Linked DNA regions of Astyanax mexicanus. The protein of the gene in region 1 purifies or fractionates together with the protein of each later gene. This does not show direct contact. Links are inferred from orthologs where the notes say so. Each region holds a gene or a part of one and is shown on either strand. Other genes may lie near its edges. The genes, in order: polr2m, gpn1, polr2j and rpap1.

Region 1 (7,569 bases):
ATTATATTATTAAAAAAATATATCTTATAGCCATAATATATTATCATGTAGCTTCAATTTCTTATGTTATGGTCTCTATACATTAACTTGTGACCTCAATATATTAAGTTGTGGCCTTAGTGTATATTATGTAATGGTCTCAATGTATTATTTTGTGGCCTTAATATAACAAGTTTTGATCTTAATATTTTAACATGTGGCCTCAATATAATATATTTTGCCCTTAATATATAATTTTCTAGCCTCAATATATTATCTAGTAGCTTTAATGTATTGTTTTGTATGTTTGATATATTATCTAGTGGCCCCAATATTTTATCATATCTCTTCAACATATTTTATTGTGACCTCAATATATTGTCTTGTGGCCTCCAAATATTATTCTGTCCTCAATATATTATCTTGTTCCTTAAACTAAACTATCATGTGGTCTTAATAGGACCAACAAACAGTTCTAATACATACAAATAATTAAATAAGTAATTAAATGAATAAAAACCTAAGCATATAAAAAAGATAAAAGAAACAACCACTCACAAAAGATTAATCAGACGTTTTAGATCAGTTATTTAGTCAATATATTATATTGAGGCCACATGTTAAAATATTAAGATCAAAACGTGTTATATACACGGTCCAAATTCTATGTACAGTTGTATTCAAAATTGTTCCATCCTCACTGCAATAAAGTGTTTTTTACTTTGGTCACAATCAAATAAAGACTTGAATAATAGACAAATATACTTCTAATATACCAATTAATAATTCTAATAATTCTAATATACGAATAAATGTACTTTTTGTGATTTCCTCATTGACAAAATTATTTAACCTCTTAAAGATGACCACTTTTTTGAGAACAGAAGTTTCAATCAGGCATTGAAAGGTAGGTGATTAGAATCAGCACTTTTCGAGCAGCACTTAAACAGATTTAAAATGACTTTAAAAGAAGATACTCAGCTCCATCTAGACAGTTAATGGTGTCATTGCATCAGGAAGTCCAGGGAATGGTCAAATAAATCTAGAGAATTGCTCATCATAAGCAAGGATATGGATATAAAAAGGGAGCAAAGACATTAAACACACGAAGAGACACAATTATAAGCATATTTTGCAAGTTTAACTGCTCTCTGGTACCTGAAACGAAATGTGGAGAAAAACCCCTGGCTGACAGCTGAGAAACTGCGACAGGACATCAGAGGAAGGTACTCAGGTTTTGGCCTAGACCGTAAGGCACACACTACGAGAGGAAGGCCCCCGTGCCAGAACTGCTTGTTTGTAGAAGAAGGGCTGGGGGATTCTGGAGTGACCATTGCAATCGCCCAACTAAAATCCTTTAGAAAACCTCTGCCCAAGAATGTCAAAGGAACTGGAGGCCTTTCCTCGTGAGGAATGGGCTAGGATACCTGTAGATCACTGCAAAAAACTTGTGTCAAACTATGTTTCACATCTGAAGGACGTTATTACCGCCAAAAGAGAGTTATACTAAGTACTAATGTTGAATCTGACTAAAGGAGCTGAATAATTTTGACAATAAGTCACAAAAAGGACATTTGTTGGAATATTAGAAAAAAATACTGTTGTAATTTAAGTTGCATTTGTCTATTATATAAGTATATTTGATATATTTGATCTGATTGTGAACAAGATAAAAAATAAATGTTAAACTTGCTAAAACACTACTGCAGTGGGGGTTGAATATTTTTTAACACAACTGTAGCTTTAACATTAAACAGAGTTTAGTATTTTTAATATTTAATTTTTTGTGTATATATATATATATATATATATATATATATAAAAGTTAAAAAGTTGTCAAAAGTTTGGACAGATGATCAGTAATAATTATTCCTTATTTCTATTATTTACAAATTGTAGCTTAATGCAGACATGCAGTTGTGCAGTCGACAAACAAACACCTGATTTAAAAACACAACACAGGTGCTTTGGAATAGCTTTAACATAAAACAGAGCGTCCAACAGTTTCTCATTCTTTCAACCCCTTCAGCTAGTTAATACTAAATTGTTAACCTTCAAAACTTGTCTTGGAGAGCATCATAAACACATGCATAGCAGTCAACAATCTCTCATCAAGAGGTACACTATCCAAAAGTAGCCTTTTATAGGGCAGTGTAAGAAGCACTTTAATGCAATTTAATCTTGTGGCAAGACTTAGTATATAATCAGATTACAGCTACAGCCATTTACATATCAGATATAATTATTATAATACGGGGTAAAATATTTTCTATCAGTGTATTTTCTAATAAATACATTAAATATTTTAAATTGTGTTCCATTGCTTACACAGTCATTTTTACATTAGAATAGAATTCTCTGGAGCAGAAAGACAAACATGAATCTATTTAACCATACATTTGTGGGTGGAGCATGAATATGTTAATACATTAAATTATATAATCACACAGCTTTACAAAAAGCTTCACAAGCACTTCTAATTTCTTTCTGCTTTTCCCAGCCGGCCTGACGCTCAGGCCTCTGAGACTCCGGTCCAGTCCAGGCCCGCCCCGTCAGCGCCGAGACCCCCGAGCAGACTGGACTACAGTTTACTGCGATACACACCGCTACAGTACAGCAGCATGCTCACGGGGCCATACACTCGGGACACTGCTACTAGTCCTACAGAAAACACCACACATTCAGATTCAGCCCGGCCCAGTGATGAGGGAGTGACCTTATTATCATCATCATCATCCTCCTCCTCATCCTCCCCAGAGTCAGAACTGTCCTCCTCCTCCAGCAAGAGCCGGGCCACATCCAACCCATCCAAGATCTACACGCCGTTTATGAGGCTAATGGAGATCACAGCTAAACTGAATGTAGAATAAGCTAAAGTGAAGTGAAGGGTGCAGTGCCCTGAATCAGACAGTAAATATGTATTTGTATATATTTTTCCTTTTCATTTTGTAACATAAATTAAATTATATCCTGATCTGTGAATAACTTTTATAAATTTTATTTTAGTAGCATGTGTGGATGCACTTTTTCTTTTTTGTTATTTTGTTTACAAATATGTATATTTGGCTTTATGGTATGGAATTTGGAAAGTCTGTATTACTCTGTATTTTACAGTTTTATACGTTTATTTTCAGTTTCCTAATGTTCTGGTTACAGCTTTGAATTACTTTCTTACACAAATAAATAATAAATAATATCTTGTAGTATAATGTAGTAGTATTCATATTATAACAGGCTCCCTGTAAGTCAGAGGTGTGGGGTGTAATACAGCGCTGTGATGGTCAGTAATTGGCTGGATTATTAGAAGTGTGCCAATGGCATCAGATCATTTTCACTGCCAGAAAGAAGCAAGAGACGAGGACCAAATCCCTCCACATTGCCACTGTGTGTGTTTATAAGGGTACAACTTTAATAAAGAGATTATCTGCACAAAGTGTGAGAGCTTCTGACCTTCTGTTGCTGGAAACAAGAGCAGGAATCTTCATCAATAGATCACATAAAGAACCACTGCAGCGCCGTCTGGAGGACAGAAGCTGGTAACGGAACATCAGAAACCTAACTTTATAGTAGGAAGGGATACCCAATAAACTAAATATATGTTATGTTCTACATATTGATACACAGTACAAGTCTTTAATCATAGTTTGGACACACACTCATTAATATTTATTTTTTATTTGTATTATTTTCTAGATTGTAGATTAATATTAAAAGAATGCATATGCAATTATGAAGCAAACAAAAACAAAGTGTTAAACAAGCCAATTATGTTTTATGCTTTAGATTCTTCAATATTTGTAAGAAATTTGAAGAAGCTAAGTTTTGATTGCTTCACTATAAAATATACGTGTAGAAAATAAAGAAAACACATTAAATGTAAAAGGGAGTGTCTAAACTTTTGCCTTTTTGTTTGGTTTGAGTTTGAGTTATTGATGTATATTTATAGATGTAAATAATTTAACCAAAACCTTTTTCTCGAACAATTTCCATATATAAAAATGCTTCACTATTACGAAAGCAAGTGTGTAAGTTGTAGGACACAGCAGACATAGCAGTTTATATTTAATTTTATTTAACTTTAATAATTCTTTAGGAAAAGATTTTAAGTGTGTTTTATTTATTATCAGAGAAAGTAGGAGTGAGCGTGTAGTTTGGCGAGAGACTTTTATTTTAATATACACTTTTAAGAAAACAGTAGGGTTTTTTGTTTTAGTTTTATTACTACTAGCAAAACTAATATTACATAAATTATTGGTACATTATACCACTATCATTACTTTTATTTAATATATATATACGTGTGTGTGTGTGTATGTTTTATTTATTCTCTCGGAGAGAGCAGGAGAGAGAGTGTAGTTTAGTTTGGGACTTTTATTTTGAATTAGCAGTGGCACGCTTCACTGTCAGGTAGTGGCGGTGGTGCTGTGAGCGGGTTAGCTGTGAGGCTCTGAGCTGATTCACTGTAGAGTTTAATATTAGAGTTTATTATAGAGTTTTTCTGTATTTATTAGATTAATTCGGGTGAATTCAGCGCTCTGCAATGATTCTTACCGCCGCTGGAGGTTTCAGGCTGAGTCCGCCGCAGTGAGGCGAGGTGAGGTGGAGATGTCCGGCCTGGCGGGAGAGCTGAGCGGCCGCAGCAGAGAGGAGCTGCAGGAGATCCTCAGCAGACAGGAGAAGATCCTCCTCAACAAGTCAGAACTCTGTATTATATTTATACACAGAACCAGTCAACACTTTACACACCTTATATTCAGTGCTTTTATTTTTATTATTTTCCTTCATTGTAAATGAATAATGAAGTAATCAAGACTAGGAAGGAACACATAACATGTAGTAACTTAAAAGTTTTTAAACAAACCAAAATACTCTGTGAAGCTCTTATCTGGGGAGCTGTTAACTTGTGGTTTATGAGGCTGGTAAATCTGATTACCTTATCCTGTACAACAGAGGGAACTCTTGATCTTCCTTTCCTGGGGTGGTCCTGATGAGAGCCAGTTAAATCATAACGTTTTTGATGGTCTTTTCGACTGCACTTGACGATACTTTCAAAGTTCTTGAAAAGAAAGTATTTTTTTCTTTACTTAGTTGAGTAGTTCTTGCCATAATATGGATTAGAACTTTACGTAAATAAGGCTATTCACCGTATAATAACTCTACTTCTACATAACTTTACAACTGATTAATATTGAAGACTTGAAAACAATTAAGGGAGTTATGTAGTAAACAGTAAATAAGTGTTTTTCCTCAACATTAATCCCCTGATCTAAATCTGATGAACTGAGATGATGATTTGAGGTGATTTAATTGGGATGAGCTGGAGCTTCACAGCGTGAAGAAAAAGCAGCAGCTATTGTTCAGCACCTCCAGAAACTCCTTCAAGACTCATTCAAAACTATTCCTGAAATTAAAATACCAAGAGTGAGCAGATCTGTCCTTTAAGTTAAATGTGGCACTTAGAAGAATCTAAAGTATAAATCAGATTCTGTTTTGTTCACCACTTTTTATTTACAGAATAATTCAGCATGTGTTCCTGTATATCTTCATTGTATGTCTTCCATTCTAAAATTACAATGTAAAAATCATAAAAGAAAATAAGAAGAGGTGTGTCCAAACTTTTGACTGGTGCTGTATATCCCCTCTGACTGCTGGAGTTTGTTATTTAGTGAAGCTCTTATCAAGCTCAAGCTGTAGTATCTTTTACAGCTGATAATAAGTAATAATCCGGCAGGTGATTTTAATCGTGATGATGTCAAGTCACAAAATAAAATATAAGCAAAGCATATAAATTGGGATGTGAGCTCTATGGGAGCTCTATGGGGCCTGTCAATTGATTCAATAATTATGGATAACTAACGATTCGTTTAATATTCTGTTAATCTTTTAATCATTTGAAATATTTTGGTTTATTGATTATTAATTGGATAAAAGGAAACATATATTAATATAAATGTAACATATTTTCCAGATATTGTTCCGATATTAAAAAATTTAGAGATCTAATGTTGTAATTTTAAAAGTAACACACAGCCTACCATTATTAAAAATGTTAGTTTACATGAAGAATTAACCTGAGATTAACTTTAATCTCATTAATATTGTTATTTAATAATACAATAGTGTATGTAATGTGAATATACACTCAGCTGTGACACTTTAACGCAATGTCAGGTCAAAAAGACCTTTAAAAAAGGGTTTAAATTTCTTATGAAAATTTACTATATAACTGCTGCTGCATTGAAGGTGGAAAGGAAAACTTGCTAAACGTATGTAAGAAAGGGTCACAAATTACACCATTTCCCACTGTGGGAAATAGCTGACTCACCTGGCTGCTCTTCACAAACACATTTTTCACAAGAACTTTCAACATGATTACATAATGAACATGTAGTTCATTATTATTTTTAATTTTTTCAGCTCTTAGCTCCATTCAGCTCCAGTTATATAGCACTCACTCGCGGGCTCCATCTAGAGTTTAACATTCTTTTACTGATATAAAAGTGGGGGCAGTATGAGGTCAGACTCTTTATAAACAGCTCTGGTAAAGCAGGGAATGCGTTTTGGACCCGTGGTTCTCTCTTTCTCTGTAATTCCATTGGTAGTATGTGGCCGCTGCTTCTGAATCCCAGTCACCGACTGGGTCAGATATCTGACGTGCCAAATATTTGGCAGGCATCGCCTCAGCGAGCATCTTTCAGCAGTTTATACTACACAACTGTGTGAGCACCGAGAGATCCCTGATTTGCCTCTGAGCAGAGTTTTTGCGATCAACAAAAAACTGTCTGCGACTGAAAAACTGGGCTAAAATCATGTAGTGTAAACCTGACCTAAGGTTAACGTATTCGCTAAACATAAGTGTGATATAAATTAAATTTTAATAAAAAACGCGTTCATATTTTGAGATTTTACACTGTTTTTATCAAATGAACTAATAGTGTTTGTGTGGTTTCTACAGGAGGTTCGTTCAGACCCTTCCGGATAAGGGGAAGAAGATTACAGACTTTGTGGAGAAGGTGCGGCAGGCGCTGGAAGCTCTGGAAGAGGAGGAGGAGAAGCAGGCCAGTCTATCCGCTATTGGAACAGAATTTCAGGTCCGGTATCAGCAGGCTTTAGCTCAGCGCAGGAATGCTGAGCGAGAAACTGTTAAAGAGGAGGAAAACTTGCTGGAAACCGGCAGAACGAATCAGCCAAACACAGAGGGCGTCATGGAGGCGTCCACACCTGCTGGCGGTGCAGAAGATCTGGTGGAGGCGCTTGGACGGGTCAATCTGTCTGAGGAAAAGAATCGTCCTCTGAGAGACACTGTTATTAACTCTCCACCTAGAAACGTCTTCAGTGCCACACAGTCTCAGAAGAAACCACATTATATAGAAGTGTTGGACAGAGCGGATGCAGATAAGCAAAAACACAGATTTAAACCTAATCAGTGAGTAAAGACCCTCTCTCTCTCTCACTTTTACAGTTTAGCTTTTAGCTAGATACTGTTTCATCAGTGATCACAATCTCCAAAACAGTAACTTTAAAAGTTTAATGCATTTTTTTTTTACTATAATAATAAAAAAAAATGTTGCACCATTAAAGGCAATTGGT
Region 2 (7,558 bases), on another chromosome or scaffold:
ACCAGCACTGAGCACCACTGCACATATTAAATAATTCAGAGTGGATACAGAATTATATTTAGTTTGTGACTAAATCATTGATAGTAGACACTGAATATTTAATTCTAGATCCTGAACTATTCCTAGTGGATGATAAATAATAACTCACAGTACATACTGAATAATTTACAGTGGGTGCTGAACAATTCATAGTGGATGCTGGGTAATTTACAGTACATATTAAACTGTGGTTACTGAATAGTTCATAGTATGTAGTAGATAGTTCAGAGTGGATACTGAGTTATTGCTTTTGGATACTGACTAATTTATAGTGAGTACTGAGTAATTCAAAGTTTATACTGACTAATTAATAGTGGGCACTAATAATTCATAGTGTATACTGAGTCATTTAAAGTGGATACTGAGTAATTCATAGTAGATACTGAGTAATTCATAGTGGGTACTGAGTAATTCATAGTAGATACTGAGTAATTCATAGTTTGTACTGGCTAATTTGTAGTGGATACTGAGTGATTCATAATGGATACTGAGACTTCATAGTGCCCACTGAATAGTTAATGGTCGATACAAAGTAATTCATAGTGGGTACTGAGTAATTCATAGTGGGTACTGAGTAATTCATACTAGATACTGAGTAATTCATAGTTTGTACTGGCTAATTTGTAGTGGATACTGAGTGATTCATAATGGATACTGAGACTTTATAGTGCCCACTGAATAGTTAATGGTGGATACAAAGTAATTCATAGTGGGTACTGAGTAATTCATAGTGGGTACTGAGTAATTCATACTAGATACGGAGTAATTCATAGTTTGTACTGGCTAATTTGTTGTGGATACTGAGTGATTCATAATGGATACTGAGACTTCATAGTGCCCACTGAATAGTTAATGGTGGATACAAAGTAATTCATAGTGGGTACTGAGTAATTCCAAGTGGATTATGAGTAATTCATAGTAAGTATTGAGTAATTAATAGTGGTTACTGAGCAATTCATAGTGGATACTGAATAAATCCTAATAGGTAATGAGTATAATGTGTATAGTAGATGGTAAATAGTGCACAGTGGTGAATAAATAATTATACAGTGAATAAACATGAATATAATAATGTAAAGTAACTGATCTCTGAGTAAAGAATAAAGAACAGCTAACACACACTGTAGTCCTGTAACTGTACAGCAGGGAGGGAGGGGTTTCTGATAAAGTGGCCGGGGAGTGTACAGCAGATAACAGGGGTTATGTGAAATCTGTTTTTCCACTCCGGGCTCATCCTTTTCCTTCCCTATCTGCAGTATCTGTATGAGGGACAGTGACCCCGGTGCAGAACGTCCTCCCTGTAAAACACTCATCATCCTGGAGAACGTTCTGCAGACGCTGCGCTTCTATAAACAGAAACACATAAAAAACATGCAGGAGATATTAAAACCCCACACTGCTGGAAATGAGTTCAGCTTTCTCTCTAAAGTTAAATTAAATCAGTTTTAAACGGGATGTGATTTTTGTTTTTTATTTAGCTACGAAGCTAATGCAGCTAACAAGTCAATAACAACCAATTAGCATAGTGCTAACTTCTGTCTAAATCATTTGATACTTTCCCAAGAAAGTCTATAGACTTAATTATGTGTTTTCCAATGCTGTATTTTCACTGGCCACTTTATTAGAAACAAGCCAATAACAACCAATTAGCATGTTGCTGACCCTCTCCCCAAAAATACTCAATGGGCTCTTTGTTAGCAATGTTTATGCAAGCAGTCAAGTGTGTCTTTGCTATCGTAACAACGGGAAAAGTACACCTTGGGCGTAACGTGAAATAAATAAACCAATCAGAGTGTTATCTGTTTGCTCATCATTCTCTTTAAGAGTAGAGTCAGGTGAGCTCTGTCTTTGGTGGATTGCTATTGTAACGGTGCAGCTACCTGGACGTGTTCAACAAACTCTTCTCAGCAGAGGAAACTGAGCTGCTGGTTGACGCTGTGAAGGAGCTCCAGCAGCTCATTTACGGGAACAGCAATGTTATTTTATTTACTATTCTGTTTATTGTTGATGTAAAAGTTGGGTTTGTGCTGCTGTGTGTTCATGTGTGTGTAATAAGTGGGGGCGTACGCTCGGCTCGGCACAGTGCCTGTGTTACCGAGATAGCGATGAACGTCTGACTGTTGGCGTCTGTCTAGGTTGTATTCAGTCAGTGGAGCTCCTGTGTTTTCTGTTACCAAGATAAACAAGATAAAACTCCAGAAATGTACCTGAACACACCTCATTTCCAGAACACCACGCCCATCAGTGTAGATATATTCAGAAGCTCTGCTGATATTCAAATGAAAATAGACTGTTGGTGGGGGGTAAGATAGCAATTAGCATCAAAACAAGCCTTGCACACCTAAAAAACTCTAAAGGACGGCTGCTTTAATGACTGTATATTAGTGTTCAGTAGATGTTGGCGAGGTTTGGTTCTGGGAACCAAAGCTCTGGGAGCTCCTGTACGGAAGCAGCTGGACCTGCTGAGGAAACATCATCACTCAGAGCTGATTTACCAGAATTATGTGGACTATTCTAAACACTGGAATTACCCCGGCTTTCCCTCTCGCCTCACTTCCTCTCAGAGGCTTTTACACAGACCCATCTACTGCTGTTACACATTCAGAGTTCTTATTTATTAATATGACGAAGCTGAGAATCAGAAAGAATGTATAAAATAACATCTTAAAATAACGTCAGTTACCTGCAAATATTCTAAAATTAGAACTAAAAAACTAGAGTGCATGAATTCCATAGCAAAACTTATGCAGAGGTATAAAAATACATGCAGGTAAAAGTGTCTGTATATGCTATTGTGTCATTGTTTTAATGTGATCTATATCAGACAGTGCTTTTAACAGTTTACGCTCCTAAACTGATATTCATGCTGTATAAAGAGCAGCAGAGCTTCACATAAAGTTTCGGTTTCATCGTCTCCAGCTTCACAGCAGCTATCAAGCAGTTCCAGTATCCGCAGCTGGACTCATCACTGAAAATGAGTTCCTGCTTATTGTAAAAATAACACGTTATTCAGCCACACCGTTTTTAACTTTGTTTTTATTTTTTCTATTCACTTTTGATGCAGCAGCGCCTGCCTGTGGTCACATTTAATCATTTTATTACAAATACTGATTTTTGTCTGATTTTTAGTTTATTAGTTAAGCCTTTCCGTAAATACATTTTCCCACCTCAGGTACAGTCTGATCATAATTTGTCTGTAAATATTTTGTCGAGAACTTTTTCCAATTCTTTTCCTATATATTTTATCCAAATAATGCATTAAAAGTAAGATTTTATTTAAAGGCTTTTATTTTGTTTAAATTGTATATACATTGTATATATATATATATATATACATATATAAAGTATCTCCTCTTGTTTAGATGATGAGTTTTGAACATTTCTGCTGGATTTTCTCAGTCAGTTTTATGAGGTAGAGTCTCCTGGAATTCAGTCTTTTAGTTAACAGCTGTGCTGAACTCATCAAGAGTTAATTACTTGAATTTCTTGTCTCTTAATAAAGTGTTTGAGAGCATCAGTTAAAGTAAAGTAGTGAAGAGGTAGAGTTACAGGTATACAGTGAATAGTGAATATTTGAGTAATGTTCGAATCCAGATTATGAGAAGAAACAACTACTCAACTACGTAAAGAAAAAAAACTTTAAGAAATTGGAAATGAAGTTCAGTCAATTAAAAAAAGAAGAATTTCAAGAACTTTGAAAGTATCCTCAAGTGCAGATACCACAAAAAAGACCATCAAAACGTTATTAATGATGAAACTGGCTCTCATCAGGAAAACAAGGAAGAGCGAGAGTTTCCTCTGATGTACAGGATAAGTTTATCAAAGTTACCAGCCCCAGAAACCACAAGTTAAAAGAGTTTTAGGTTTGTTTAACACTGTTTTTAAGTTACTAAATGAATTATTTATGTATTTCTTTATAATCTGATTGATCACTTTACTATTTATTTACTATGGCGGGTTTATAAAGTGTGGTTTTGTCTCCATCTAGCGGACAGTAGCGGTACTGAGCGGAAAGCTGTAGTCACGTGGTCCGCGGCGCTGCGGTAGTGTACAGCATGGCGGCTGCCGGTGGTTCTATTACCGGGGACGGAGCTCCGGGAGAAAACCCGCAGGATAGACCCGCCGCGGGGGAGCAGGAGGCCGGGGCGGGCGGGGAGAGCGGCCCGCGGGAGAAGCCCGTCTGTCTCATCGTTCTGGGAATGGCTGGATCCGGGAAAACCACGTTTGTACAGGTACAGATACACGAGGGCTATCTCCTCCGGTCCACCTTAAATGTTCCATAGTTCCATTCTGGCGCCTGAAGGTGTTTTTCTATTGCTACTGCTCTATTTAAGGTGGAACGGACAATTCGAAAAGAATCCAAGTTTAGCTTTAAAAATAATCAAAAATAGAAAATATAGATCAGTTTTAGCTTCTCTAAACTTTACACAGAGTGCTGTACATTTACTTCAGCTTAATTATTACACACACATTAATCATTAAATACATGTTCAGAACTATGTAAACACCCGAATGTTATCTGTTTTTATATTAATGTGTTTTAATATTATTATTATCTTCTTTATTTACTTTATTTAACATTTAAACACTGGATCAAAATATGTGAAATCACATATCACACAAGTTTTTTACTTTATTAAGTTCTAATTTAAAGTATAAAATAGTCATTGCAGACTTTTCCAGATTTAAATAAAACTATAAATATAGATATTTTATAAACAGAGGTTTTGGATAGGTATTGGTTTTATATTGGAGTTTAGTTCAAGGCCTGTTAAAACAATAAAAAAATATATATTGTCTTATTATAAATATTATGAACTTTTTATTTTAATATTTTATTTACAGAATAGAGGTGGCGCTTAAATATTGTCACGTTATTTCAGTTTTTTTTATCATAATAATATTCTTGGTGATTTGACAAAACTTTGATTTAAAAAATAATAATAATTGCAATAATAAGTGCAACAAAATAAATACAAATATTTTTAGTTCATATAAATATTACCGTTTTTTTTTCATTTAGTAGAAATAAAATAAATCTGTAAACTTTTGTTTATTTTGGAAACAGTACATTTACCAAGAAAATTGTAGAAAATTATAATAGTGTAACAAAAAAAAAAATCTGATTGAGAAAAGCACATTCATGTGAATTGCCAGAAAGTCTTAAAAACTTACAAAACTGTGATTTCATTTTATTTATGACTTTTTTATGAGGGGCTTATATAAAAAAAAATGTTTAATGTCAGTCTGAATGTCTGAATACTCATCAGAATTAAAATAGCATTATATTAGTGGCATAAAATGGATGTAAAATGACAATAATATTGTTTATCGCAATTATTTATGTATATATTTATTAATATATTGTCCACACAGCAATAATTATTTTGACAGGCCTATGCATGGTATAATATATAATATAATAATAATAATAATAATAATAATATTAATAATTTCTTTATCTTCTGTTTTTATTTTACAGCGTCTCACTGCTTTTCTCCACTCTAAGAATTCTCCTCCGTACGTTATTAACCTCGACCCTGCCGTCCACGAAGTCCCGTTTCCAGCCAACATCGGTAAAAGTAAAATTTTTATCCAATCAGAACAGTTGGATCTAATGAAAGAATATAACACTGCTATCTAGTGGGCGGAGCTTATACGCAAAACTTATTGAACCACTTCTGACACCAATCTTTACATCTAAGCTAATACTAAACTAATCAATACTATTGTTTTTGAAAATTGATACAGTATTACAAAACAAAATGTTGCAATACATTAGTATACAGCCCTGTAAAAAAAGAGAGCCCTTTAAAAATGATGAGTTTCTTTGATTTTACCAAATTGAAAACCTCTGGAATATAATCAAGAGGAAGATGGATGATCACAAACCATCAAACCACCAAACTGAACTGCTTGAATTTTTGCACCAGGAGTAAAGCAGCATAAAGTTATCCAAAAGCAGTGTGTAAGACTGGTGGAGGAGAACATGATGCCAAGATGCATGAAACAAACTGTGATTAAAAACCAACCAGGATTATTCCACCAAATATTGATTATTTCTGAACTCTTAAAACTTTGTGAATATGAACTTGTTTTCTTTGCATTATTTGAGGTCTGAAAGTTCTGCATCTTTTTTGTTATTTCAGTCATTTCTCATTTTCTGTAAATAAATGCTCTAAATGAGAATATTTTTATTTGTAATTTGGGAGAAATGTTGTCTGTAGTTTATAGAATAAAACAACAATGTTCATTTTACTCAAACATAAACCTATAAATAGCAAAATCAGATAAACTCATTCAGAAACTGAAGTGGAATCTTCATTTTTTACAGAGCTGTATAATATCACCCCTTCTAAGTGCTTTAGTACTCTAGTGCTTTGTACGAGCAGTAAGTTTACATTTAGTGTAAAAACTTCAGATCCCATAAAGCTCGGTTCCAGATTCCTCCTGGAAGCTCCGCCCCCAGTCAGTGTTCAGTTTCATCAGCATCTCCAGTCTGTTTTAAATGTTTTAAGTGTTAAATTTAAATATAAAGAGATTTAATAATTAATACTGTTTTGTGTTTTATCTGCAGATATCAGAGACACGGTCAACTATAAAGAAGTGATGAAACAGTATCCTTTACTGCTCTCATACCGACTCACTGTGACGTGACTGATGAGCTCTTATGTTATATGTAGATGTGTTATATTTGCAAATAGATTAATACTTAAAACTAATTTACTCGTTATTTTGTTTAAGTTGTTTCGGAAGATTTTAGAGACGAGACGTTTTAAAATTAAGACATTTTTACACTAATAACAGTCTTTGCAATGTCATATGTTACTTTACAACATGTGTAATAATGCCCTGCTTAGTGCAGTTCAGACACTGACCTAGTCTTAGAGTCTCTGTAAAACACCAAATCCACCGGAGATCCTATTTAAACCTATAGTTACTCACAGAGGTGGATAGTCCAGCTCCAGAGAGTAAAAATCCAACTGCTTTAAACATCTAAACACCTACCTATCTCTATTTTACTTGGCTGGTGGTGTTTTTCCTCCATAGACTAATTCTAACCATTTGTTTCTTAGCTCTGAATTACTGGGTAAAGTCTATAATGTGAAAAATAATGTGTCTATAATAAAACATTTTACTCCTTTTGTCCTGTAGTGAGAAAATTCCTATGTTTGAATGGCAATTATGTCAATAATTAGTCAACATAATGGATATAAAATGTGTTGCCTAGTTGTTAATGTGTGTTTAAATCAGTACACCTTGTGGAAGAGGCAGCTGAGACTAGGGGTGGGCGATATGGCCCTAAAATAATATCACGATATTTCATGGTCATTGCGATAACGGTACACTTGGCGATATAAATTAATGATTTTTTTTTTTCAAGAATACACTACTGCAACAAAATAAAAATTGTATTTATTTATTGCATACGATTTATGTCACACCCCTAACTGAGACATTAAAAAGTACAAGAATTTAATCAGATTTGTAAAAGAGGTCAATGATGCAGAATATCACG
Region 3 (8,540 bases), on another chromosome or scaffold:
CACCGCCTTTTACCTCACATAACCAGCAGCGGTTAAATGTCCTGTGGGAGCGCTGCGTATCTATGTGGATAAATCTAAAAGCTTTAGGAAGAGTGATCAGCTTTTCGTGTCTTGGGCTAAGCCGTACACAGGGAGAGCTTTTACTAAACAAAGACTATTGCACTGGATTTCAGAAGCGATCGCTTTGGCATACACCAGTAAGGGGCAAACAGTCCCGCCTGGCATCCGGGCACACTCCACAAGAGGCATAGCGACCTCATGGGCGGTCTTTAGTGGCCTTTCTATTCAGGAGGTGTGTGCAGCGGCGAGCTGGTCCTCGCCTCATACGTTCACCAGATTTAATAAACTGGACATAACAGCACCTACTATAGCACATGCGGTGCTGAGCGCCGGCTCAGGGAACACTCAGTCTCCTGAGTGTTAGCTGGTTGACAGTGTGTTCAGGCAGGCTTGTCTGACAATACGGGAGTTAGGATATCCCATAGTGAGACACCGAAATGAATGCTTGAAAGAGAACTTTAGGTTACTTGCGTAACCCCGGTTCTCTGATAGCATGAGTGAGGTGTTTCACCAGACCACCCTCCTTGCAGTGTGAAGCGAGGAAGAGATGTGCCTGTTTTTTGAATGAGGAGGTGACGCCGTATTATCTACGGGGGGTGGGAGCACGAGCATCACAGCTGTCAGCCAGCCTCATTGGCTGGCGTAGTGGAATAGAGCTTCTGAGGCATACGCGGAAGGGGCGTATCCCATAGTGAGACACCTCACTCATGCTATCAGAGAACCGGGGTTACGCAAGTAACCTAAAGTTTTATATGGGGCGAATAGTAGAAATCAGTCGATTTTAGAGGTTTGACTGTACTAAAATTAGTGTTGCTGGGTAATACATTTTTGAGCTGGGACTTTATTATTATATTCTGATTCAGTATACATAACTCTATAATAAAAGTAACATTATAAAGAAAAATATATTTCTTTAAGCCACTGACAGCATGTTTTATACTATAGGCGAACAGTAAAAATCTGTAGATTTCAGAGGTTTGACTGAACTAAAACTAGTGTTGCTGGGTAATACAGTTTTGCGCTGGCACTTTAATCAATATATTCTGACACAGGACACATAACTCTTTAATAAAAGTAACATTATAAAGAAAAATATATTTCTTTCAGCCACTGACAGCATGTTTTATATGAGGTGAATAGTAGAAATCAGTCGATTTCAGAGGTTTGACTGAACTTAAACTAGTGTTGCTGGGTAATACAGTTTTGCGCTGGGACTTTATTATTATATTCTGATTCAGGACACATAACTCTTTAATTAAAGTAACATTATAAAGAAAAATATATTTCTTTCAGCCACTGACAGTATTCTGGCACCTGAGTGCGTAGCAAGGCACACATCACCAGATAGCTAAACACTCGAGCAAACTTGAATAAAGCACCAAACTTCAGTGATGAAGGAGCATGAAGTAATCTTGTCCGTTTAATGAAGCTGAGTACTTCCATACAGAAAGTGTGAAACTGAAATGAAATACACAAAGAATACCTTCAGTTCCAATTAAATAATAAGCACAAATAGTAAGTAATATACGGTGGCCGAGAAAGCCCAACGCAGTGCAAATTGAAAAGCGCTGCAAAAGCACAAAACACATCCATCAAAATTACAACACAGGCGCAGCAAATAGAAAAACGCGCTGCAAAAAGAAAAACGCGCTGCAAATAGAAAAACGCGCTGCAAATAGAACCACAACACAACGGAAGTGAGTCACAACACAACGGAATTTTCCCGGGGGACCTTAAAAGATGCTGTACCAGCTGTATACAAAGGACAGTAACTTAAGTGGCAAACAAGCTTCTGAAAAGTAAGTAATGTTTATTACCTGTGATTACCACGGTTGTGTGCATATTATTAAAAGTTCTGCTTCACAAAACGCCTTGTTTGCCACGTATTGTCCTTTGTACACATAGTGAAGTCCGAGACGTTACTGAAGACGCAGCTTAGCTGGTACAGCATCTTTTAAGGTCCCCCGGGAAAATTCCGTTGTGTTGTGACTCACTTCCGTTGTGTTGTGGTTCTATTTGCAGCGCGTTTTTCTATTTGCAGCGCGTTTTTCTTTTTGCAGCGCGTTTTTCTATTTGCTGCGCCTGTGTTGTAATTTTGATGGATGTGTTTTGTGCTTTTGCAGCGCTTTTCAATTTGCACTGCGTTGGGCTTTCTCAGCCACCGTAGTAATAGCCTAAATGAACAAATCTACTTACAAACAAAGCTTCTTTAGAGGGTTACACAGGAAGATGAAGCTGGATACACAAGAGGACTTAACACATGCGCCTCTCTTACTAGTTTGAAAGAAAATGGTCGTTCTAAGCATGTGACCAAAAACCATGTGACTCAACAACCAATGATAAAATTAACATCCAAATAAACATCCAAATAACAAGTATTATAAAAGTGGTCAGCAGAGGGTGCTATAAATACAAAAAAACAAATTTAAAGCATGAACCATAACAGACAGCATGTTTTATAGGAGGTGAATAGAAAAATCAGTGGATTTCAGAGGTTTGACAACTAAAACTAGTGTTGCTGGGTAATACAGTTGCGTGCTGGGACTTAATTTTTAATGGATAATTTTTTCATGTGTAGCTAGCGGACTTTACAGCGCCCCCTAATTGGTTCAATTTGAAAAAGTAAAAGCTTTTTTTAAAGTAAAGCTAATTTATGCTGTGGATGTGTCAAAAATTTTCTAATTTTTTCATTTTTTTTTTTCAAATTTTAAGAGGAACATAGATCCTATGATCCTGCACATATTTCCCATTTGCTTGTAATAGCTCCGCCCAACAGGAAGTCGACCATATTGGAATTTGTAATATTTTTACAAATTTTCACGAACTCATTTAAATTGATTAAAAATTCCAAAAGGATTATTGATCGGAGAAACAGTAACAAAATGTTGGGCAAATGATCTACTAGAGACGCAACAATAAACCAAAGTGAAACAATGACACGGTCAGAACACAGATGCTTGAAAATTCATGAATCTTGGCAAAAACACAAGAGGCTGCATTACATACGTTTTTAGTATTGGTAGGACTGACTCCACCCAATAGGATGTCGGCCATTTTAAAATATCTGCATTTTACACACATTTTTTCGTATGTTGTCAAACTACTCCCAGGAACTTTGTTTAATTCTCTTGGTATTTGGCAAAAATAAACTTTGAACATATCTGATTATATCTTTCACACTTATATCCGGGACCCTCCGCTGACGCGGCCGCGCGTTCTCGGCGTCGGGGACCCTCCGCTGCCGTGGCCGCGCGTTCTCCGCGGCCGGGACCTTCCGCTGCCGCGGCCGAGCGCTTTCCGCGGCCGGGACCCTCCGCTGTGTGCTGCCTTGATGTAATTCCCTCAGTTTTAATAAATTATTCTGTTATTTTAATAAATAATTGCCTCAGTTTTAATAAATTATTCTGTTATTTTAATAAATAATTGCCTCAGTTTTAATAAATTATTCTGTTATTTTAATAAATGTTTCCCTCAGTTTAAATAAATTATTCTGTTACTTTAATAAATAATTACCTTAGTTTTAATAAATCGTTCTCTTTATTTAATAAATAATTCCAATAGATTGTTCTGTTCTTTTAATAAATAACTCCCTCAGTTTTAATATTTTGTTACTTTAATAAATAATTCCCTCAGTTTTAATAAATTATTTTGTTACTTTAATAAATAATTCCCTCAGGTTTAATACATTTGTTACTTAAATAAATAATTCCAATAAATCGTTCTGTTAATTTAATAAATAATTCCCTTCTTAATAAATCGTTCTGTTGATTTAATAAATAATTCCCTCAGTTTTAATACATATTTTTCTTTGAAATAAGGGAATGATTTGAATACAAATTAATAAAATTGTTTCACTTGTGCAACATGTCTCATTTCTTTTATTGTTGAGATTGTGTAAATATGAATGAGAGTTTGTTTAAATGTGTTCTTCTTGTTGGTATTTACATAGATGAAAATAGCAATTTACTAAAATAAATAGGAAAACATATTTAACTGGAACATACTTGGGTTGTGGGGGCTGCTGCTAAATGGTTGTTAGAATTGGGTTAACTGCACTTACATTAAACTCTAAAGTAAAAGCAGCAATTGCTGTTCTGGACAGTATGCAGATCTCATTAGTTTTAATAATGAAAAGGTAGGACATTTTTCATGTTGTTTCTGTAACTCACTCTGAGGAATTCAGAGCACTACAGAGCACTGACTGGTGTGTCACAGCAGGACCGCGTAGGGTACTACAATCAAAAGTGTTACATTACCGAATACTACATACTGGGCAGTGTGTAGTATGCAGTACATACTAGTGCAGTATGCAGTACGCAGTATAGTAGTATGCCATTCCGTGATTGGTCTGGGAGTTTACTGCGCCGCAGTAAACAGTTTTCAGGAGAGAAATCTGTGTAGATTTTTTATTTTATGTTTTATTAAGTTTAAACATAAAATAAAGCTTACAATAGAACTTTACAGAAATTTACAATATTCTAGTTTTAAAAACACCAAAACTACCCGCATATATTATAATACAGTAAAGTGTACTCCACCACCAACATAATTATTATTACTGTCCCCTTCCCTAAAATCCAGTTAATTAATAATTAATACAATTATTATAAAGGTATTGGCACCAATAAGTGTTTCTGACACTGATTTTGTATTCATATTTAAATACCTATTATCAAAAGCTTAGTCTTAAGGAAGAAAAATTGTGATTTATCATGATTAATTGCAGAATTCTATTGTGATTAATTGGATTTTTCATTTTAATCGATTGACTAATAAAAAAAAGCTTCACTGTCCTCTGCAGGTCTAACCATTTTAGACCTGAATTTTGTTCCAGTGATGATAAAAATATACAATACATGTAATAATAAATACATGAATAAATAACATTAATATGTATTAGAAGTATGTTCTTTGTTCACTTCAGTGAAATTATTTGTTTAATGCTATATTTATTCTATATAACCTTTTATTTTGAAGGGCGTTACCCATATCACGTTGCGCAGGATGTGTGAACCCAAAGCGCGGCTAAGAGATTAGCACTTAGCTCTCACTCACAGGGAAGATGAACGCTCCGCCGGCCTTCGAGTCGTTTCTGTTGTTTGAGGGGGAGAAAAAGTAAGTTTATGAGACCTGTGTAGTGTAAGACTGCCTATCCTCTTTAGCTAATGCTACTTACCACGTTACCGGGCCTTACTTTCCCTATCTAGGTTATAGTTAGCTGAAGAGCCAGATAGCTAGGTTAGCATCTGGGGAAAAGGGTATTTTGTGAAACATCTTTGAGTTTAACTGAATTGCCCCCATTTTTGTGGTGTAAATGAACTTAGTCTGATATGTTTCCTGTTTTTCCCCTAAGTTTCTCAATTTTTAATATTAATAAGTAAGTTATATGAGTAAAATCAACATTGTTGTTTTTTTCTATAAACTACGGCCACCATTTCTTCCAAATTCCAAATTAAAATATTGTCATTTACAGTATTTATTGCAGACAATGAGAAATGGCTGAAATAACAAAAAACGTTTCCGAGCTCTTAAAACTCAAATAATGCAAAGTAAACACGTCCATATTATTAAGTGTTAAAGAGTTCAGAAACGAATATATGGTGCAATAAGCCTGGTTTTTAATTACAGTTTTTATGCATAATGGCATGTTCCCCTCCAACAGTCTGCTTTTGGATAACTTTATTCCAGTCCTCAAAAAAAAGTGCAAAAAATCAAGCAGTTCAGTTTGGTTTGATGGCTTGTGATCATCCATCTTCCTCTTGATTATATTCCAGAGGTTTTCAATTTGGTAAAATCAAAGAAACTCATCATTTTAAGTGGTCTCTTTATTTTTTTTTCCTAGAGCTGTGTATACATACATACATACATTCATCACACACAGGAAATAAATCAATTATTTTCTCCTTCTTCACAACCAGTTTACACACAATGTAGTGAAACTTCAGTTAACTCATTTCTATTGTGCACTAACTGTAGGCTAATTTAGTGCTTGCAGCATTACTTTATTACTCCACTCCTTACACATTTACTGCGAGATTCAACTGAGATGGGTGGTTTGGGATGAACTGAAGGAAAAGCAGCAACTATTGTTCAGCATCCTTAGAAACTCCTTCAAGATGCTGAGAAAACTATTACAGGTGACTCTACCTCATGAAGACACATAGTGTGTGCAAAATCTGTCATCAAAGCTAAATGTGAATAAATACAAAATCATTTTGCATGTGTTCCTGTTTATTTTAATGTCTTTAATATTAACATTTACAATGTGAAAGTCATGAAAAGGAATAAAACGCATTAATAAAAAGAGGTGTGTTCAGATGTTTTACTTGTACGGTATATATTTTTAAATTGTACATCACTTGTTTCTAGTTCATGTATATATTTATTTTATCTTTCCTGTTGTTTTATATGATTTGACCTGTAAGTATTGTAATATTTTTTTTATTAAAGGATTACAATTACAAAGGATACCAAGGTGCCAAATGCCTGTTTGTTTACATTGAACAAAGAAGACCATACACTGGGCAACATCATCAGATCGTAAGAATCACTTTATTGTCCTAAAGATTTGGTGTGTATACTAGGGTTGCAGCGGTAACCGGTTTCACGGTATACCATGGTATTAAAATGCACGGTTATCATACCGTGTGTGTTTGCTTATTACCGGTAAAACGCAAGCCAGCGGAGAAACTCACCCGCGCATGCGCAACTCTGCTCCGCTTCAGCTGCTCAGCACACAGCGGTGAGAACGGCAGAAAGTGCATCAGACTAAACAAATCTCCATCCGCCTAAAAAAAGGCTAAACTAAAATCAGCAGTGTGGGACTATTTCAGAGACCCGCCGAACGCACCCGAGGATGGTTTTCCGATTTATAATCAATGTGGCCGTAAAGTCACAGCTAAAGGTGGACATACGTCAAACCTGTTCTCCCATCTCCAAGAACACCACCCCGCCGTGCAGCGCAAAGTATGTGTTTAGTTTATAATTTTAATCTGAACATAAATAAAATCTCTTTGTAGTCGTGCACAACCCATGCGGTAAGCGCCCGCAAAAGCGCTGAGTTATCCGAAATTTGGGCACGCAGGTACAGGCGTGAAGTGCGTGCTACGACGGATTCACGTGTCCGTGTAAAGGTGCTCGCCGGACTGGATGTGAAAGACGCCATTCATTTACATGCGTTAATTTTCAAATTCTGACGTGCCTGTTTTTCATGTGTTAAAACCAGACTCAGAAATAAATCCCCTCTATCTGGTTATATACCAACTTGGCAGTAAAACGGACGTTTACAACAGTTGTTGATCAGACACTGACCCAGGCTCAGTTTATCAGATATTAAATAATTTAAACTTAAATAATTGTACTGAATAGTTTAAACACAGGATCTTTACTTCTTAGAGGACATGTAATGTGTGACACCTGTGTTTGTGTGTGTGTGTGTGTGTGTGTGTGTATATATATATATATATATATATAATTATATACACCCTTAATGACCTTAAGAGTAGTGGAAAAACCTGGTTTCCTTTACCTAATGGTGTACAGTTTATTTTTTTTAAGGAGACATTATCTATATAGTTGTTCCAGGTTTCTACAATAAATAGTTAATTGAACAAAAACCTTTATTGTAATTTCTTTAAGGGTCAGTTTAATAATATATGTAACAAACTGTGATACCGTGATAACCGTGATACCGCGGTATTTTCTGAGACGGTTATCATACCGTGAAAATCTCATACCGTTGCAACCCTAGTGTATACACACTGTGTCTAGATGTCCTAATTACCAATTTTGTTTCTGTTCTGTTTTTTTTTTTTTTTTTAATGCATTATATTTCTGTTTTCCTTCTGTTTAACAGACAGCTACTGAAGGACCCTCAGGTGCTGTTTGCTGGGTATAAAGTGCCCCATCCACTGGAGCACAAGATTGTGATCCGTGTGCAGACAACACCAGATTACAGTCCTCAGGAAGCTTTCACAAATGCTATCACTGACCTCATCAGTGAGTTGTCACTGTTGGAAGAAAGGTTTAGGGTAAGTTTACCACTGGTGAATAAGTATCTGCATCTGTATCAGAGTCTTAAACCTAAAAATATTTATACTGTTTGACAGAATCAAATAATGTTCACAGGTGTTCATTTGGTATGATGATTGCAAAGAACAGCCAGTTCTAATTATTGGCTCTACTGTTGCTGGATGATATGAAGTCCACAGAAGCATCAGTATAAATATCACTATAATTAATGAATATAGTTAAGGACAACTACAACAAATAAATGTCCAGTTGTCAGGGGAAACTTTAAATATAGACGTGTCTGAGTGTGGGCAGACAAACTGAACATGTCATTCAAGCGTAATCTTATATCTATGGTCAATGTTTTTACCTGCATCTGAGCATATAGGAGCACTTTGTAGTTCTATAATTACAGACTGTAGTCATTCTGTTTCACTGCATACTTTATTATCCTCTTTACATTTTGTTGT
Region 4 (8,574 bases), on another chromosome or scaffold:
CAGTCTTGTACCATGGTTCCATAGTTCTGGGTCAGGTAATCGTCCAGCAAGAAGCAGCTGGAAGACGAATTGTCGCCTTGACCTGTTCCAGAGTTCCCCAAATTCATCAGCATCGCTTCCGAGTAGCTGGGGATGAGCTGGCGGTTTGAACGAATGTGCCATTCCAGCTCTGTGCTGTCCACCGTGTCTCCTCTCGGGATGCCACACCGACCGTTTCTCGCGGGAGCAGCGTCCTCTGGAGAAGGACTGCTGTTGGTGTACTCCAGTCCGAAGAGTTTCTCCACCTGGTAGTGCACAAAAGCCGTGCGGTACTCTATTAAAACACGAAGAGGCCAGGAAAGCATGAGGAGAGCAGTCAACCAGAAAGAAAACTGCGAGGTATACCAGGGTAACCTGTCAGGATCCACATAGGTGATGAGATGCTCTTTAAAGTCCACGTTCTTTAGCTGCATCCCTTCCCGTGCTTCCATGTAGTCATCCAGACCTTCAATCTCTGAGAAGAACCTGGCCCTTTGGTTGAGGTACGCGTTCTCAGGTCCTGCTCCCGCAAAGCTAAAGCACTTGCTAAAGCGTAGCCTCGTCGCCGTGTGGCTCTCCAAGCCACGCAAGTCCCTTGAGACATCCTTCATCCCACAGCGACTGTAATCAAACTCTCCTTCCGCCACGTGGGTGTTGACTCGCTCGTGGTAGACCTGTGTCGTGGTGTAGGCGTCCCCATTGCGGTACCGCGTGACCTGCCGCGTCCTCCGCACGAAATGGTAGCTGATGGCTTTCCACCAGACGCACGGTCGAGCCTGCCGCATGCGCAGGACTCTTTCGTAGACGCTGTCCACGTTGGCTTTGTACTGAAGCTCGCTGCGGGCGCGGCAGTGCCAGCACTCCATCAGGTAGACCGCGTAGAGCATCAGCAGGAAGGCCAGGGGGATGTAGACGTACCCGTCTGAGCAGGGGCTGTCGTGGTAGATCATGGAGCGTCCTCCTCCGTCTCGGAGCGAGTTGATGGAGGTCAGGGAAGAGGTGCTGGAGGAGTCAAAACTCAGCTTGGTGACGCGAGTGAACTGACACCAGGCCACGGCACCCAGACAGCTGTACATCAGCAGAGACAGGAGGAGACAGCGCCAGTGCATCTCGCGGCACATGGATGCACTCAGGGACTGCTGCACTGGCATTTGCTGTGGAGACAGAGAAAGAGAAAAAAGAAAGAAAGAAGAGAAAGAGATAGAGAGAGAGGATACAGAAGATCTTTAAGATACTCACCCAGATTCAAGTGTTCTGAATTGCAAAGAGCTGCAAGACAAGCACAGAATCAATTGCCTAAAAAGATAAACCTCATGGCTTTAGTTAAGAGACCCTTCAGGGTCCCATCAGCCCATTGATCCTACAGTGAGTCCCTGGACGTATGCCTTTTGTCCTTGACTGAGGTCTTTTTTTATATCCTCCACCACTTAATGATAAGACCTGATGAGGCATGACCAAACAGTTAAAAGTTAAACAGTTAAAAAAACACAGCAATAAGCACTGGCTCTAAGCACATCTCTAATTTTAAGCTTAATTACTTACATTCATACCTAAATAGTTACAGTATATTTAATCAACGCAAATACTTGTGTGTTTATATGCAACATCTCTAGGTTTAAAGTCGAAGAAGATACACTATCCCAAAAAGACTACTAGTCGTTTTACTTTTGATGCAAGTCACTTGCAATGGGAGTGAGTGCAGTCACTGTTAAAAGGTCCCAAGAAGTTGCCTGCCTTGCCCGGTGGTACAAGTGAGGTACCACTTTAAAACAAGGCACCATTATAAAGGATTTAGAAATAATGTATGAGGGATACTTTATCAATCATTAAATAATAGTTTTAATGCATAAAACGTGTTATATTTTGTTTGTATTTTTCCATCCAGCATTAACATATCTAATAAAATAATATAGAAAGTCAATTTAGATATTTATTGTTATTGTATGGTAATATACACCACATTATGATTATTGCATAATGATTAATTTAGTTGTCTGATTACTTTGACAGACAAAGTAGGATTCAACAGTATAAATGTAGAATCACTATTAGACCACTGTTGTATTTCTATAGATGTGTTGTAACTGCTTATTAATGGTTTATAAAGTATTTCCAACCTAATTAATAACATTAATAAACTTTATTTTAAATAATAAACCTTATTTTAAAGTGGTACTGAAGTGATGGACATGCTAACTGCAAATTATTTTACTGTATGTCAATTATCAATCAATTGTCAATCAAGTCAATTGGGCCAACGCTTAGATAGTTGTGCCACTCTGAAGTTAACCACTTAAAAATAATTGGTATCAGACTACTGTTTAGATTTGAACATTTGTAAATCAAATTTTATGACTCTTTTTTTGTAATCTAAAGGAGCAGAATCTTTCTATTAATCCATTTAGATTATATTTATTCTGAAGATATCAGACATTACAATTTAGAATACAATTTCCAGTTTGTTGCACCCCAATTGACCCCAACGTAATGTCTTTTTGTCAGGTCCAACAGTAGAGAACAGAGGTTACTGTGAGCTTAGCCAGCAGATAACAGCGCTTTTGATATTAATAAGGGTAAACAGGCTTTTAAGGGAGCAGGACAGGCGGTGAGGCATCAATAATGGAGATGCCACATGAAACAGAATGCTTTAATGTCTCTAAAAGTCAGCAAGGCACATATTCACTGCGCACTGCATATATCCCCTGTGTAAAGTCTAATATTTCAGAGTGGAAGCTTCTATTCTTCCTCTTTTTGCCTCACTTAGAAATGACTAAATATGCAGTTCTGGAAAAAAAAATAAAAGAGCACTTAAAAATGATGATTTTCTTTGATTTTACCAAATTGAAAACCTCTGGAATATAATCAAGAGGAAGATGGATGATCACAAACCATCAAACCACCAAACTGAACTGCTTGAATTTTTGCACCAGGAGTAAAGAGGCATAAAGTTATCCAAAAGCAGTGTGTAAGACTGGTGGAGGAGAACATGTTACAATTGTTACAATTCTGGGGCAGCAATTAAGATTTAGCAGCTAATCTCTTGTTTTTACTCCACAGCCTAACAGTATATGTTGAATTTGAAAAAGTAAGCGAATCCTTTAGAAAAGTTGTTTTAAAACTGTAGTATATGTACCATCTGTAGTACACAAAGCATTTAAGGGTGGTACATCACTATCAGAGCTGCACTGTTCATCCCAATCAGCTCTTCTTCCTGCCCCGCCCCTAAACCCATACATCACCCAGTGCTCCTCCGAAACTACTCTTCCCCTTTTCTTTTGTTTTTTTTCTTTTTTTTAGCATTTTTCTCATTTGAGCTGAGGGTGGAGTCAGCTAAAATTAGGGGATTTGGTAACCCTTTAAAGAGACCCATAATATTATGATAAATAAATAAATAAATTTATCAGCAAGTTTTGTGGAGGGGTGCAGGAACATAACTAACCTGGAAAAAAATCAGTTTATTTTTTTTTGGTTGATTGATTTTGTTGAAATCTTAGCATAAATCTTATAGCCAGCTTATTATAGGTTATAGCCTTTATTCACTGGCAGCTTCCTGAAGGTCTACATTATGAGGTTGTGTGACACAGAGTGCTGCAAAGGACTAAAATAGGCTTCAGCATCAATGACAATCAATAAGCTGCTCGCTTTAAAGTTATCTATCATAGAGAACAGAGGGGTCTGGAGTCAGGACTCGCTGTAATGTTGAACATATGATAGGAAAGGGTTCAGAATTGTCAGAAAGTGACTAGATTTAATAGTATTTAGTGCTACATATAAAGCACGGATAGTTATAATATACCTATAATTACCTTTACTACTGAAAAATAAATGTGAGGTTTAGTAGAGTAGTACAGTGGACTAATCATCCCCCTTATCATAGTAAAAAGCCCCCCAGGCTGTCTACAGTCTCCCCTGCACCCTGGTGCTGATGCTGGAGGATGCTGATGCTGGAAGATGCTGGATGTGTCTCACCTCCTCCAGCGCATCCAGGCTGGCCGGGGTGTCCGCGCCGCTGTTCGGGCTGCTGGGCGCCGTTTCCTCCGCAGTCGTATCACTTTCCACATCTGGAGACAACATCCTGAATCCGCAGCTCAGACATCTCACTCAGACCCCCGCATCAGCTCCATCACCCGCCCGCCGCTCCGCTCCCGCCTCCTGCCTCAGGGACCGGGAGGGAAACCCCGCTCAGACTGAGAACAGACTGCGGAGGATTCCCATCAGAGAGAGAGAGAGAGAGAGAGAGAGAGAGAGAGAGAGAGAGAGAGAGAGAGAGAGAGAGAGAGAGGGAAGGATGGAGAGAGACAGAGAGAGATACAGATAGAGAAAAAGAGAGAAAGAAAAAAGAGAGAGAGAGAGGAGAGAGAGAGAGAGAGAGAGAGAGAGAGAGAGAGAGAGAGAGAGGGAAGGATGGAGAGAGACAGAGAGAGATACAGATAGAGAAAAAGAGAGAAAGAAAAAAGAGAGAGAGAGAGAGGAGAGAGAGAGAGAGAGGGAAAGAGAGAGAAGGAGAGAGAGAAGTAACTACTTAACAGATATTACTGATTAAGATAATAATTCAGAGATAAATACATAAATCATATAGCTTCAACACATATCTACACAGATATCCAAATAGTCAATTACAATTGCAAATTAACGTGTAATTAACCTTATTGAATTGTGCATGTATATTTGAACTGTTTATGTACTTTTTTTGTGTAACACTAAACACAAATATATATATATATATATATATGATAGGTGGATAAATGGGATAAATGGGAAAATGGGATAAATCAGATATATATATATATATATATATATATATATATATATATATATATATATATATATATATATATATATATATATATATTTATATATATATATATATATATATATATATATATATATATATATATATATATATATATATATATATCCTTTGTATTAATGACTGTTCAGCCCAATTATTTAAAAGCTTAAAACAATAATTCAACTTAAACCAGTATTGATTTTATATTAGTATAGCAGTGTCTTTTTTGTGTGCATTACAGATAGAAAAACAGCATTCACATATTTTTTCCATCACTGGAACATCATTTATTTCTGATAGGTTTAATCTACAATGCAGAATACACATTAAAAACAATGAAATGGGTGATTTTGTTTCCTTAAACACATTTAGAGATGTATAACGTAGGTCTTTTATTTTGAAATGCAGAAGCCGGAAGTTGTTCGGATGTAAACTGTAGCATGTGTGTGCAGTGTTCTGCAGTCCTGTCTGAACTGAAGAGGAGCTAAAGTCGCTGTTTTTGCACTAAAAAAGAGGTAATATAGTGTTTTATATGTTTAATCAGCTGTGAGAGAGACTCGTCCTGAGTTTTTGTACAATAACCCGACAAGCTCTCACAGCTGAAACACTAACGTTACCGTTAAAAAAAATTAACGTTGAATCAACATATAATTTCTAAAATCGGTTGGATGGATGGGTGAAAAAGTGTTTTTACTTCTATTTGCAGTAACTGTTTTTTATTTTATCACCAGTTATTCTCCATATCTGGGGGAATGCTCATGTTCTATTAGTTTTACTGTTTTACTGTGTTTTTCAGATCAGATGTTGAATCAGATTGGTTTCTTTATACTCAGATTTACTACAGTGATTAAGTTTATTATTAACACTGTTAAACATAGGATTTTCTACTTTTAGCTACCTAAAATAGTAGTAATTAAAGCTTTTAGTTTGTAACTGTTCAGTTCCTACTTCTCAGAGATGTAGATTCAGACAGATAAATATATTTTGCATTTCAGGGCATAGGGGAGAGTGGGGTGAGTCGTGCCTGTCTTTACTTAAAGGGAGTTTAAAGCAAGGCCTTGACAGAAATGCTATAAAAATAAAATAAATATGCATGTATATTAGAATGTTATGCATCCCTGGGAACAATCACGTTGGATCAGAAATAGGGTATTTAAGAAATACAGCTTTCTAAAAAAAGTATTTTGGTGGCTTTTCTTGCCCCCGGGGTAAGTTGTACATTTGGAGTTACATTGGTATACATTAGGGTAAATTGCGTTATTAATTATTGAATAAAACAGCGTATTTTGATCTCAGAAAATGTAATGCTAGAGAAAGCTAAAAAATGCAAACAAAATCACTAATTTAAGTTTTTTTTACATTATTAAATTCCACTTTTCTACAACACTCAACACACTATATGACTTTATAACACTCTACAGCTCTAACTTTAAGTTAAGTGTGCTTACTTGTCTGGCAAGGAGGCTCTCTTCTTTGCAGAATGAGTAAAATAGCTTACTCTATAAAAAACTGTGATCACTCATCAAATTTCTTTTATGGTTTCCTAGAATCACCCCACTCTTCCCTACAGTTTAATTCTTTCTCTTCCATACAATTTTAAGCATTCTAAATGTGAGCTATGGTTTATTATAGTTTATTAAACACAAAATCCAACATTGACTCAAAGTTAAAATATCAGCTGGGCTCCTTTTTTCTCTTTTGCTCCTAAACTTCATACTGAAAACTCACTCTTTCCTGTTAAATGACTGAATTATTTGCTTGTTTGTCAGAGACTCAGATCCAGCTGTAGGGGATGATACAGCGCCCCAAGCCCTCCGACTCGGAATCGGATCTGCTGCGGGAGCAGGAGGAGTTCCTGTCCTCGGGGGGTCGGCCTGCGGCTAACGTAGCTAGGAGACCCGAAAAACGGCGAGGGGATGAAGCGGATGGAGACGGAGGAGAACCTCAGGAGAACCAGAGAGATGTGGTGACCATTACAGGTGAGCTCCTCCTCTCAGTTCTGTATCAAACAACCCCCCTGATAAAAATGATGAATCACCACTCTTGGCATTAAGATAATAAGAAAGGAATATAATTATTGTTGTCAGTCACAATCGTGTTTTTAGATTCCTTAATTCTGAGCAAAAATATTAGGGAATATCTCTGTAATTGACAGAAAATCTGTAAAAAAAAAAACAAACACCTCCATCAGGTTAAATCTGCTAATTAAACCATGGCTCCAATATAAGAGATGTCAGTTGACACAAAGTAGAGGACTATTAAACTTCTTCTGAGCAGGAGATTGATGGTTCGAATCCTGTTCATGCAGCTTGCCTTCAGCTGCCGGAGCCCTGAGAGAGCACAGTTGTTCTTGTTCTCTCTGGGTGGGTATAGTACAGTAGATGGCGCTCTCTCTTTCCCCTCATCACTCCTAGGGTGATGTCAAGTGTTTTCTTTATATTTTAATTTACTAATTTACTACCTATTTGTATTCTCACTTTATATTTCCCCTTTTTATTATAAATATTATATTCTCTATATATGCCTATATATGTCTAGATACTTTTTTCTTTACATAACGGAGTTGTTCTATCAGTATAATTCTAATTTAGTTGAAATTAATCACAATTAGATAATCTTTATAAATTTGCATAAGCAAAATATACTCTTAAATTATTTTGCTTTACATATAAGTTTGAAGACACAGTAAAAATGTTATTTCTTTACTTCATACATCAATTTTAGCCAGTATCATTAGCTCTAGTCTAGAACTGGGGCTGTGTAATGCCGATATTTATGTAATTTATATTTTACCGCGTCACACACAATAAAAAACAACTGTTGTAATTTACAAATAAATTTACAAGTAAATGGTATCAAAGTGGTTCATTTTACCAGTAAGTTCCACTACTTTATTTTTCAGATCTTCCGGATGATCTTCCCGCCCTGACTCCAGCCTCAGCAGCAGCGCCGGCTCCTCCCAAAAAATCTCGCTTTAAAAAGGAGCGAGTGCGCTTCGAGGATGAAGATCCGGAGGAGCTGCTGGATAAACATGACACTCACATCAGTGCCGTCCTCTCCAGGATTGTTGTGAGTTAATCAGCAGAAAAAAAGACTGTTTCTCATTGGCTCATTAGTTTTGTGCTGTTAAACAGTGTGTTTGTGTTTCTGTAGGAGAGAGACACAAGTTCAGTCCCGGTATCATTCCCCACTTTTACAACCACAGCTTTCCCCAAAGTCCTGCATCGATCCACAGCAGAGACACAGGTGAGGAGTCAGCACACGGCGGGTAGAGCACTGAGATAAAGACCTTAAAATCACATAAATTAAAGCACTAAAATTAAAATACTTTAATTTTCCTAAAAATCGATAGCACATCTTATAATCCGGTGCTCCTTATGTATGAATTCTATCAGTCAGGTATTAAGGAGCAGTAAAGACACTCCACTGAAGTACAGAGTTATACAGGAGTTTCAGTTTAGTTCTCCAGCACTGAGACGGGAGCAGCATTAGCGTTAGCTAACTGTGCTATGCGCTAGCTAGCTCTTTTACCATTAAAAACCATCGCCCTGGCTTACCGGAACACACAGGGTTCCTCAGCGTAGCACTATCACGTGGTATTTACAAGGAACAGTGGGCTAATGCTTATGCTAATGCTGCTGCACCTAGCCTTGGTGGAATCTGGAAATCTGAAAAGCTTACTGTAAATAACCAGTTTTTCAGAGAGAAATCTGTGTAGATTAACATCCAGCATATGTATAAAAAATAGAGCAGAAAATAGATGT

Evidence for each region.
Region 2: the proteins of polr2m (region 1) and gpn1 purify together in Homo sapiens (affinity purification with mass spectrometry; 3 studies listed by BioGRID and IntAct, counting the BioPlex papers as one, with this or other methods). This does not show direct contact. The link is inferred for Astyanax mexicanus from reciprocal best matches to the Homo sapiens genes POLR2M and GPN1.
Region 3: the proteins of polr2m (region 1) and polr2j purify together in Homo sapiens (affinity purification with mass spectrometry; 3 studies listed by BioGRID and IntAct, counting the BioPlex papers as one, with this or other methods). This does not show direct contact. The link is inferred for Astyanax mexicanus from reciprocal best matches to the Homo sapiens genes POLR2M and POLR2J.
Region 4: the proteins of polr2m (region 1) and rpap1 purify together in Homo sapiens (affinity purification with mass spectrometry; 3 studies listed by BioGRID and IntAct, counting the BioPlex papers as one, with this or other methods). This does not show direct contact. The link is inferred for Astyanax mexicanus from reciprocal best matches to the Homo sapiens genes POLR2M and RPAP1.

Annotation. Positions count from the first base shown.
Region 1 is NC_064430.1:31,677,749-31,685,317, reverse strand, and holds the start of polr2m (protein GRINL1A), read left to right. Parts: upstream 1-4,376; 5' UTR 4,377-4,584; coding exon 4,585-4,673; intron 4,674-6,934; coding exon 6,935-7,405; intron 7,406-7,569. Other genes in the region: myzap (myocardial zonula adherens protein), read left to right, coding at 2,480-2,849.
Region 2 is NC_064421.1:731,064-738,621, forward strand, and holds the start of gpn1 (GPN-loop GTPase 1), read left to right. Parts: upstream 1-4,060; 5' UTR 4,061-4,094; coding exon 4,095-4,271; intron 4,272-5,521; coding exon 5,522-5,615; intron 5,616-6,616; coding exon 6,617-6,656; intron 6,657-7,558. UniProt on the Homo sapiens protein: Small GTPase required for proper nuclear import of RNA polymerase II (RNAPII). May act at an RNAP assembly step prior to nuclear import.
Region 3 is NC_064408.1:29,548,906-29,557,445, forward strand, and holds the start of polr2j (DNA-directed RNA polymerase II subunit RPB11-a), read left to right. Parts: upstream 1-5,047; 5' UTR 5,048-5,122; coding exon 5,123-5,175; intron 5,176-6,510; coding exon 6,511-6,600; intron 6,601-7,915; coding exon 7,916-8,090; intron 8,091-8,540. UniProt on the Homo sapiens protein: Core component of RNA polymerase II (Pol II), a DNA-dependent RNA polymerase which synthesizes mRNA precursors and many functional non-coding RNAs using the four ribonucleoside triphosphates as substrates.
Region 4 is NC_064421.1:48,618,123-48,626,696, forward strand, and holds the start of rpap1 (RNA polymerase II-associated protein 1), read left to right. Parts: upstream 1-5,216; 5' UTR 5,217-5,325; intron 5,326-6,579; 5' UTR 6,580-6,602; coding exon 6,603-6,789; intron 6,790-7,712; coding exon 7,713-7,879; intron 7,880-7,963; coding exon 7,964-8,056; intron 8,057-8,574. Other genes in the region: si:dkey-13p1.4 (transmembrane protein 151B), read right to left, coding at 1-1,172, 3,988-4,092. UniProt on the Homo sapiens protein: Forms an interface between the RNA polymerase II enzyme and chaperone/scaffolding protein, suggesting that it is required to connect RNA polymerase II to regulators of protein complex formation.